3 linked regions of the Anolis sagrei genome follow. The main gene of each other region encodes a partner of the protein of the gene in region 3 in a complex. Links are inferred from orthologs where the notes say so. Each region holds a gene or a part of one and is shown on either strand. Other genes may lie near its edges.

Region 1 (3,752 bases), on a different chromosome or scaffold from region 3:
TGATGTTTCACATGCATCTATGGCAAGCATCCTCCTGTAGGTTTTTCAGGCTATATGGCCATGTTCTAGAAGCATTCTCTCCTGATGTTTGGCATGCATCTATGGCAAGCATCCTCCTGTAGATTCTTCAGGCTATATGGCCATGTTCTAGAAGCATTCTCTCCTGACGTTTCACCTGCATCTATGGCAAGCATCCTCCTGTAGGTTTTTGGGCTATATGCAATGTTCTAGAAGCATTCTCTCCTGACGTTTCACCTGCATCTATGGCAAGCAACCTCCTGTAGGTTTTTCGGGCTATATTGCCATATTCTAGAAGCATTCTCTCCTGATGTTTCGCCTGCATCTACGACAAAGCATCCTCAGAGGTTGTGAGGTTTGAGGGTGCCTGTTATAGTTGCAGGCGAAACGTCAGGAGAGAATGCTTCTGGAATGTGGCCATACAGCCCGAAAAACATACAGCAACCCAGTGATTCCAGCCATGAAAGCCTTCGACAAGACATTTGGTTAGTTGGGAAATACAAGGCAGACTGTATGACACACTAAGGCCCCTTCTATACTGCCATATAATCCAGATTATCAAGGTAGATAACACCCTACAACCTCTGAGGATGCTTGCCATAGTTGTAGGTGAAACGTCAGGAGAGAACGCTTCTTTTTAAATTTAATTTAATTTATTTTAAATATATATATAATTATTATTTTATCATAGTTCATGCTTCTAGAACCAGATTATCAAAGTAGATAACACCTCACAACCTCTGAGGATGCTTGCCATAGTTGCAGGCAAAACGTCAGGAGAGAATGCTTCTTTTAAAAATTTAATTGTATTTATTTTTAAATATATATTTTTTATTATTTTATCATAGTTCATGCTTCCAGAACCAGATTATCAAAGTAGATAACACCTCACAACCTCTGAGGATGCGTGCCATAGTTGCAGGCGAAACGTCAGGAGAGAATGCTTCTTTTTAAAATTTAATATATATATATATATATATATATATGATCATAGTTCACGCTTCTAGAACCAGATTATCAAAGCAGATAACACCTCACAACCTCTGAGGATGCTTGCCATAGTTGCAGGCGAAATATCAGGAGAGAATGCTTCTTTTTTAATTTAATTTAATTTCTTTTAGATATATATTTTTTATTATTTTATCATAGTTCATGCTTCTAGAACCAGATTATCAAAGCAGATAACACCTCACAACCTCTGAGGGTGCTTGCCATAGTTGCAGGCGAAACGTCAGGAGAGAATGCTTCTTTTTTAAATTTAATTTTATTTCTTTTTTAAATTTTTTAAAAATTATTTTATCATAGTTCATGCTTCTAGAACATGTCCATATCGCCCAAAAAAACCACAACAACCTAGTTAGGTTAGTTAGACACCAGAGAGCCCTTCTCCTTAGTGCCAAGGGAGAAGAAGGGCTCTCTCTGTGGAAGTTGCAATCCCTAGGCATCAAAGGGACTGCTAGACTCAACAGCCATTCCTGCCTCTGTTGCTGCTCCTCCCTTCTCCCCAATCTAGGAATCCCACATCCCTCTGAGGTTGCCTTTCAAATACTTCCTAACCCCTTTAGATGGCTGTTCATCACTGGGGAGGCTCAAAGCAAAAGCCTTGCCAGCATCATCTCTCTCTTGCTTGTCTGTACGTGTTGAGAAACAAGGGAGGGGTGGGCGAGCAGGGACGAATTCAACCAGGGGAAAAAGGGTGGATGAAGATCAGCCCTTCCCTGATTCCTTTGGCCCCTTCTTTCCCCATCCATCCTTTTCCAGAAGGTGATATTTCCACCTCCAAAGTTCCCCCCTCCCTCTTGCTCCCCCCCCCCTTCTCACCTGGAGACCAGGGTTGTCTAAGACCTCCATCTGGATGTCTTGGCTGGAGCTGTAAGGTGTGCGTGACATGCCGCCCTCCTGCACCATGGAGATGCCCCTTGCCCGCCGCCGCCTGCGCTCACGACGCCGGGCTCATGGTGCCAAAGCCGGGGAGGGAGGAAGGGGCGCCCCCGGGGGCTGGCACAAGCCCCTTCCTCACGCCCGTCGCCTCGGCATGGCTTCTGCTGCCCTCTCCAAGGCGGGGATGGAGGAAGAAGAGAGGGCGCAAGGCAATTCCTGGCAGCAGCAGGGAAGGCTGGAGAGGCTCCTGCGGTGGTGGCTGTTGCTGCTGCTGCTGTTGCCAAAGGGAGAGGGAAGGCAAGGTGGGCGTGGGGTGGGCTGAGCCCAAGGGGGATGCGCAGATGGGAGGGAGGGGCTGCCCAGGAGGAGGAGGGGAGATGGAGGGCTGGCTCCAGCCTTACTTGGGTTGCCCCAAACCAGCCTCCCATCCTCCCTCCTCCTGGGCAGCCTCCAAGGCCATCATCCTATCAGCATCCACCTGCTGCTGCTCCTATCTGCCCTTCTTCTGAAACAATGGCTTCAAACTCCAAGAAAGGAGATTCAATCTGAACATTAGGAAGAACCTTTGAAGACTGCTTGGAAAAAGTATTATAAGTTAATATGGAAATGGTACCTAATACCAGTAAGAATCCATATAATTAAACATGTAATGTTTGTTTGTGGGATTAACAGAACTCAAAAACCACTGGACAAATTGACACCAAATTTGGACACAAGACACCTAACAACCCAATGTATGTCTTTCACTCAAAAATTTGATTTTTTCATTTGGGAGTTGTAGTTGCTGGGATTTATAGTGAGGCCCGTAGCCAGAAAAATTTTTTGGGAGGGGTTTAAATTTGGGGGGGGGGGGTTGAAAATTTCGCAGGGGGGGGGGCAAAGAGCACAGCAGGGGGCAGAGCAGCCTTCAATAGCCTGCAGCTCCGCCCTTGTCAACCACCTCCACCAAGTCTGGCCTCCTTAATGAGAGCATTCAACATTCCACCCCCCCCCCCCAACTTGGTTGCTTCAGTACTGTTCTGTCGAGCATTGGGCCTGTAAATAATTGTCTTTAGAACAGGATGTGCAACCTTTGCCCAGCGGGAAGCCAGGGGGCCTAAAGAGAAGTTCTCAGAGGTTTCCACCACAAACAGTCTTTAGATGTATTGTCGAAGGCTTTCATGGCTGGAATCACTAGGTTCTTGTGGGTTTTTTCGGGCTATAGAGCCATGTTCTAGAACATGGCTCTATAGCCCGAAAAAACCCACAAGAACCTAATCTTTAGATGGCTTGAGAAGTACAACAAAGTCTTTTATTAATGAACAATCAAACAGAAACTTCTCTTGTCTTCAGTAAAGTTAAGCAAATGATTCCAAGCTTTTAGGCAACTGGTGAATTCCTAATCTTGCCCACGAAGGACAGGCAACTGTCTTCAATAACTTCTTCTTTAAAGAAAAATCCCCTTCGTAACTTCTCCCAGGCTAACTGTAATCTAACCCTTACTGATGTGGGCTCTGCTACCGGGTCGAACTGCGTCTCGAACGCCGAGTGGACCTACTAGCAAGGCAGTAGATGTTCTCCAGCTGGAGTTCTTTGGTCCTGGAAATTCTTTGGAGACTCTTAAGACCTTTCTCCCCTGGAAAGTCTTAAGGGTTGAAGCTTTTGTACAGGGGAAGCTTGCACTCATCCTATATATAAGCTTACTTTGCTGAGACTAACTAAAAATGGCTCCCTTCCCTTCCCAATTGCCCTGAGCAAGGGGCGGGACCAAAATTTAACGATGATGGACAGGTGACTTGCCCTATGACTGCAACCAAAGAAGCCACCTTTCTGCAGAGTCCCTGAAACCTAGGACTGCAAGCAAACATTTAATA
Region 2 (3,752 bases), on a different chromosome or scaffold from region 3:
ACTCCTTTCTAACGTGCAAAGAGCCATTGCCTTCCTCATGTCCAGGTTATTCCATTATAAACTCCACCCCATAGTGTGGTATGGGTTGTCACCAGTTCTCAAAGCCCATAAGAAGAAGAAGAGTTGTTGGGTAACCCCAGAGTCCAGAACCCATGAGGCCTGAGATATCTTAGAACCCTTCCACCTAGCCATATAATCCAGAATATCAAGGCAGATAATCCACAATATCTGCTTTGAAGTGGGTTATCTGAGTCCATACTGCCATATAATCAGTTAAATGTGGGTTTTATACAGCTGTGTGGAAGGAGCCCAATTCAACCTGCCTGGATATCTCTGTTCAGATCTAGTGGAGCAGAAGAGTCCTGTCAGAGACCAACCCAGGAACCTAAATGCACAGAAGTTAGGAAAAGCACATGGTAGAGCAATGGTTCTCAATCTGTGGCTCCCCAGATGTTTTGGTCTAGAACTCCCAGAAATCCTAGCCAGTTTACCAGCTATTTTGGCCTTGGCTATTTTGGTAAACTGGCTAGGATTTCTGGGAGTTGTAGACCAAAACACCTGGGGACCCACAGGTTGAGAACCACTGTGGTAGAGGATGGGAGAGTATGTTGATCAACACTATCCCATACACATGTGCCTTTATCAATAGTCTGAGTGGAACCGATATGCCTATATGAGCCAGTCACTTCTACATGCATGTGCATGATCAACTCAAACCTTGAACCAATGCACAGAGGCAACAAGAAAATCAGCTTTTACAACCACAGTCTACCTCCACCACCCAGACCTATTGATCTGATCACTTCATTACTTGAAGAGGGGCTCTGCGTAATAAAGTTGAGGTCCTAGGCAGAGGCAGCCCTAGGTAATTTTCAACGGTGAGCAAACAGTATTTTGCCCCCCCCCCCAAAAAAAAACCAAAACCAATCACTGATATATATTTTCTGTTTGTTGTGGGAGTTCTGTGTGCCATATTTGGTTCAATTCCATCATTGGTGGAGTTCAGAATGCTCTTTGATTGTAGGTGAACTATATATCCCAGTAACTACAACTCGCATATGTCAAGGTCTATTTTCCCCCAAGAGCGCCTCAAGAGCGCCCCTGGGCAAAATCAACTATACTGCAAAGGCTTACTTTGCGTAATGGTTGAGCCGCCCCTGGTCCTAGGTCAAGCAACAACAGTAGACATGCCAGATCACTACAGCACTCCTCATGTAAGCAACTCCTGGGATTTTGTTATCTGTGTTGCTTTCTACTGTCATACATGACGATGTACATAGATGTGATTACTTCTAGCTATGATGTACCTGTAGATGTTTTAGTTGCAGTGAAATGGCTCATTGCCGACAGTCCTCTATTATCTTAAGCAATTAAAAGTTCTTCAGAGTAGCTTTTGGCCATAAACTAGTTTTATATTTTGATGTATCCCCCCTCTTCTCCCCGCTTACATAATTATCCAAATCAGGAGCACTATTTAATGGAAATGCTGGCAGTACGTGATCTGAAACTGTAGGGGTTATATAAGCCAATCTCCCCCCACCCTTGCCATTCGGATAAAGATTTATGTCAGACTTGGCAAGGCGGGGTTCGTTGACACTCCTGTGATCAAAGGCTCCAGAGAAAGCATATTTCGTCTTCTGTCTCCTCTTTGCTTTTCACCTCCCCCCATCATTTCCCTTCAGAGTAGGACAGCACCAAACATTAACACAATACATGCCAAGGAAGCAGAAAGATCCTCAGGGAAGTGTGAAAAAAGAACATCGCTTTGGGCTAGCTCAAAAGCAGCATTGGTAGTGACATTTCCATTCTCCCAGCATGCCCTCTCACATTCAAGCTGCCTTGCTGTTTTAAGGTATTCTGCAGCGCATTGTCAGGCGGTTATATGGGGACACCTACCTCCTGGCAGGCTTAATGGCCCACAACCCTGCTCTTTGTCCGTCTCATTTTCTTTCATGAAGATCCGTTTTATACAGATCCGCCAGAGTCCAAAGTGGGCCATCTCGCAGGTAGCGTTGTACTCTTCTACCTTAGGACTCAGCACGGCCCAGTGGTCCGTCACCACCGCTGTGAACATTAAGACGATGCCTATCAAAATGATGGTAAAAGTCACCCGGACTTTCAAAGCCTTGCCTTCGGTCATGGCTGGGAGGCTTAGGCCAAGACGCAGTAGTGCAGGCCGGTTCTGGATTAATCTGCTGGTGACAAGGAACACTGCAAGTCATCTGAGTTGTCTTCCAAAGTCTTGGCGTATCTAAGCATGTTCAAATGTCAGCCCTGCAGTGGCAAAGAGGAGTAGCGAGGAGAGGGTTGGGGGAGGCAAGCAGCAGCACTTACAGCTGTTGAGATGTATCAGATGACCAGTCGGGCTGTGAGTGAGGCTTCTATTAATGCACAGTTTGGGCGAAGGAATAGGCTGCTCAGATTACGGCTGCCGGGATTTGCTCTGGGAATTCCAAAGGCTGTCTTGGAGCAAAATGGACTTAAGGGAATGAATAACCACCCCTATAGCAAGCACCAGGCTGGGGGTTGTGTAGATGTATGAACTGAAAGCTATAAATACTAACACATATGCTGGAAACCTCTGTGCAAGCAGACCAAATAAGGCAATAGAAAAGGTTGAATTCAGCAATCTGTGCTTGTGTGTTTGGGTGTGCACACTTCTTGTTACACAATTTATTTTGCTATTGCTATTCATAGGGAGGGACTAAGAGTAATGAATGGTATTGGAAATCCCCTGGTTACCACATGGGGTTCTCCCCCATACATTGTGCACAAGCCCGTAGCCAGGATTTTGATTCGGGGGGAAGGCTGAGTTTGATTCGGGGGGGGGGGGGGGGATGAGGATCTACCCTAACAAACCTTTTGTATCACTATCCCAATACCCCCATGCATATGGGATATATTGAGCATGGTGATCAGATCATGATATGAATAAACATAACACAGACCTATAAACCCATTTTCCTAGTTCCAACACACTTCATTACCTCTGAGGATGCTTGCCATAGATGCAGGCGAAACGTCAGGAGAGAATGCCTCTAGAACATGGCCATATAGCCCTAAAAACCCTACAACAACCCATAAACATAACAGTTTAAATAATGTACCAGTAAGGCCTTCTCGCGGACTACCCTGAGAATTTGGGGGTGGTGGTGGGGGGTGAAGCCCCTCAAGTTGTCCCCCCCCCCCCCCCGGCTACGGGCCTGATTGTGCATAAACCAAGATGGTAAAGATGGCTTTGTAACTGATATAAGAACCCAGGGCTATTGTTGTTCATTTGTTCAGTCATCTCCGAGTCTTCGTGACCTCATGGACCAGCCCACGCCAGAGCTCCCTGTCAGCTGTCACCATCCCCAGCTCCTTCAAGGTCAGTCCAGTCACTTCAAGGATGCCATCCATCCATCATGCCCTTGGTCGGCCCCTCTTCCTTTTACCTTCTACTTTCCCCAGCATAATTGTCTTCTCCAGGCTTTGCTGTCTCCTCATGATGTGGCCAAAGTACTTCAACTTTGTCTCTAGTATCCTTCCCTCCAATGAGCAGCCGGGCTTTATTTCCTGGAGGATGGACTGGTTGGATCTTCTCGCAGTCCAAGGCACTCTCAGAACTTTCCTCCAACACCACAGCTCAAAAGCAATACAGCAGGACTCAAAACAAGGACCACACTATACTAGGAAGGAAGTCTAGTTCTTCCCCAATTTCAGACTGCAGTAACAACCCTTCCCTACCCGCAGTCCTTGAAGGAAATCTGCTG
Region 3 (3,752 bases):
ATCCCCTTAAAGAAGATGTGTGGGGGAGGGGGGGCGGGGGCGGGGCGGCGGATAGAACTAAACAGTAAACAATGGCAGAATAGAGCTAATCACTAAGAACTCTTTTTTGAGACAAATCAATCAGTTTAAATCTCAAGTTATTTTTATCATGTTTGTGAAGAAATGGCCTAAGCTTCCAGTTAGCACATTATGATTATTTTTGTCTAAGTAAGACATAGGACTTCCCTATGTGTAGATTTGAAGGCTACTTCCAGAGCCTCTGGATCTCAAGGCCTGGTCTTGTGTTTTAGATTTGACTGATATTCTATGATTCATGAAACAAGGGCGTGAAATTTTCGGGTGAGAAAGTTGTCTTTATATATAGTACGTCACATACATTCCACATTTCTTTGATTCTAAGATGCACTTTCTTTTCTGTATAAACAAGTCAAAAAAGTCTTAGAATTGCAGGTGCTTTTTGATATATCTAAATAATACTTTTTTGTTGGTGGTACTGGAATTAGTATGCTTCTTACAATTGATGGTGTCTTAAAACTGAAGAAATATTGTGTGTATGTGTGTGTATATATATTCATACATATATATATATATGTATATATGGTCTCCGTTACTGTGTGAAATCTTGACTGTTTCAAGACCATCGAAGTATATACCCGTATATACTTGAGTATAAGCCAACCAAATATAAGCCGAGACATCTAATTTTACCACAAAAAAGTGGGAAAACATATTGACTCGAGTATAAGCCAAGGGTGGGAAATGCAGCAGCTACTGGTAAATTTCAAAATAAAAATAGATACTAATAAAATTACATTAATTGAGGCATTAGTAGATTAAATGTTTTTGAATATTTACATAAAACTGTAATTTTAGATAAGACTATCCAACTCTAAACTATTATTCTAACCTTCTTCAATGTAAATGTGCTTTCATATCCTTCCAATACCAATAAAGAGAGTAAAATAATAAATGCAGTAATAATAATAATAGTAATAATAATAATAATAATAATAATAATAGTAATAATAATAATAACAGTAAAATAATAAATAACCCTGACTCGAGTATAAGCTTAGGGGGTGCTTTTCAGTCTCAGGGCTGAAAAACTCAGCTTATACTTGATTATATACGGTAATCCATACACTACTAATGTTGAAGTGGCTTTGATCCTGATAATACAGGCAGCAGCTACTCCTTTATAAATCTGTCAAACATGAATCAAAGTGAATTAAAATGTTCCTTTTCTAAGCGCTGATATGTGAAGCCCACCTCCCCACCCACATCCTTTCCCCTGACCTGGATTGGTAGCTCAAAAATGGCCATGGATTGAGAACGAAGAAGGAACAGCTGTTCCTTTTGCTGTCTCAGGAAATCTGACAGCCCTGGGAGCCAGGCTGGGGGCTAATTATAAACTCTGCGCTGGGTGTATTTGTGTCTGTGGGAATGTCATTCCCAGCCCCACATCCCACACCGCCTTGATAAGTTTGGCTCAGCAGGAAAGAGGTCCAGAGGGGGCTTCAGCCGCCCTTGTGCTGGGGAAGGGTGGGGGGCTGGTTGAAGAACAAAGGAGAGCCAAAGAAGGGGCAAGACAAGTCTGCCTGGAGTAAGCAACTGAAGGAGAGTGATCATGGAGGCCACTTTGGCCCAAGATGACAGCTTGAAGAAAAAGCAACAAAAGGAAAAAGCTAAGAAAGCAGCCCTGGAACTTCCTCCCAGGCCTCCTCGATCTCTCTTCTGCCTCACTCTCCAGAATCCAGTGCGCAAAGCCTGCATCGCTATTGTGGAATGGAAGTATCCTTCGGTGAAAACTATGGGGCTGGCTCTAGGCTGACGTGTATGTGCTATGGGCACCAGCTGAAACCAAAGGCAAAGGGCTGGGGAATATTTATTATCAATGAACCTCTCTTGTGAAAGATAAACCCTGAATATGATTTTCTCTTCTCTAGAAATGCTAGAAAGCCACTAAATTTTGGCATTTATGTCTGAGAGGAGAAGCAGGGAGATGAGGAGGGAAGGAAGGTATTTAAGAGAAAAGTACTGCATTGATCCAGTCTGAATTGGTAGGTGGACGTGAGTGTGATTTGGAAAAAAATACTGTAGCAGGAGTTATAGTCTTCTGTGGCCATTCATAGATTAAGAAACACTTGGAAATGTACAACTGTAGAATCCATTATGGTTCAAAAGGATATGTCATGGATTCCAAAAGAGATGCGTATGAGTACAGAATGAATGTTTACAGGTTATTTCATCTAGCTTCTCAACTTCAGTACATTGAATATAGATACAGCTTCTTCCCACTTTTTACATATCTTTGAGGAGTCTAATAACATTCAATTCAAGGGCCAATGCATTTTACTCTGTTGTGAAGATTAATTTTGCTTAAGAGTCAATATATTGCTTTATTTGATGTGAGGATATAATTTTCTCAAACTCAAAATGAGCTATCAAGCCTTCTTTGATAGCATGGAGCTTACCTTCCTACCATGTAATGTAATTATGTGGATTATGCTATGTCTTGTTCATTTATATTGATCTATAATTTATTGAATTGTCTTCAATTTGTTGAGTTCTTTATATATTATTGTGGGCATGGAATGTTTGTCATGGTGTATTTTGTTGTAAGTCGCCCTGACTCCCTTCGGGAAGATAGGGCAAGCTATAAATACAGTTTCATTTCATTTCATTTCATTGCTTGCTGGAGTAATCAGATTTTTAAAACAAGCTATTTCTGGAAATGTGCAGACCTGTCTCCTATGCGGTGGCTTTTTTTCTCCTGCTTTCTGCTTTTGACGTACTATAACTTGGACAAAATGGATTAATTTCTCCAAAGAGCTATTTTTGAAATCTTTTAAGTACTTCTGGGCTGAGAATGGGAGAAGAAGGTCAGGGCTTTGGATTAGGTGCTCTTCTTTATATGTTTCTGAGCCTAATGATTCTATGCTAAAGTTAGTGGCGTAAAAAAGATCATAACTGGAGTCAAGAAACCGATCATTCTTGTATAAGTCATAGAATAAAATAGAAATCCAGTTGTTATTTAATATTGGTTAAAGGATGGAAAATGTAGTGTTAAACTTTTCCCAATCATTTAGTGAAAAAACAATTGAGTTAGGACTGTGTACAGTAGGAAGAAGGCTTGTGTCTTTAAGCTAATTTATAATTTGAACAACAAAACAAATTACAGGTGATGCCAGCAGAAGCCCTATATACTTTGGGTCCAACCTATCCTTGAGACTGCATCTCCTACGAACCAGCGTGGGCACTAAGATCTGCTGGGAGGCCCTTCTTTTGGTCCCACCACCGGCACAAGTACGGTTGGTGGGGACGAGAGAGAGGGCCTTCTCAGTGGTGGCTCCTTGGCTCTGGAATAACCTAAAGAAATTAGATTAGCTCCCTCTCTTCAGGCCTTCTGGGTGAGTCTAAAACATGACTCTTCAGACAGGCCTTTGATCCTGAGTAATCCATGACCAATGTGATGAATCATTAATAGTACTGGCCCACACTTTGATTGATTGTTATGACATGTAGCCAGCTGGCAGGTTTCACTGTGTATTAGGAATGTTGTAATTTTCAAATTCTTATAATTTTATTAATGAGATTTTTATGTGCTGTTGATTATGTCATTGTATTTCTAGTTATATATTGTCGTCTGCATGTGGTGCTTGGAGTGCTTCTGTGAGCTGCCCTGAGTCCCTTTGGGGAGATGGTGGCAGGGTACAAATAAAGATGATGATGATGATGATCTCTCAGTTGGA

What was found.
Region 1: CACNA1S (region 3) and CACNB1 share a complex: the UniProt entries of both Homo sapiens proteins name them as parts of the calcium channel complex. The link is inferred for Anolis sagrei from reciprocal best matches to the Homo sapiens genes CACNA1S and CACNB1.
Region 2: CACNA1S (region 3) and CACNG1 share a complex: the UniProt entries of both Homo sapiens proteins name them as parts of the calcium channel complex. The link is inferred for Anolis sagrei from reciprocal best matches to the Homo sapiens genes CACNA1S and CACNG1.

Annotation. Positions count from the first base shown.
Region 1 is NC_090026.1:43,881,237-43,884,988, reverse strand, and holds the start of CACNB1 (voltage-dependent L-type calcium channel subunit beta-1), read right to left. Parts: upstream 2,295-3,752; 5' UTR 1,927-2,294; coding exon 1,840-1,926; intron 1-1,839. UniProt on the Homo sapiens protein: Regulatory subunit of L-type calcium channels. Regulates the activity of L-type calcium channels that contain CACNA1A as pore-forming subunit.
Region 2 is NC_090022.1:180,613,212-180,616,963, forward strand, and holds the start of CACNG1 (voltage-dependent calcium channel gamma-1 subunit), read right to left. Parts: upstream 2,483-3,752; 5' UTR 2,141-2,482; coding exon 1,897-2,140; intron 1-1,896. UniProt on the Homo sapiens protein: Regulatory subunit of the voltage-gated calcium channel that gives rise to L-type calcium currents in skeletal muscle. Regulates channel inactivation kinetics.
Region 3 is NC_090024.1:185,707,195-185,710,946, reverse strand, and holds the start of CACNA1S (voltage-dependent L-type calcium channel subunit alpha-1S), read left to right. Parts: upstream 1-1,440; 5' UTR 1,441-1,627; coding exon 1,628-1,791; intron 1,792-3,752. UniProt on the Homo sapiens protein: Pore-forming, alpha-1S subunit of the voltage-gated calcium channel that gives rise to L-type calcium currents in skeletal muscle.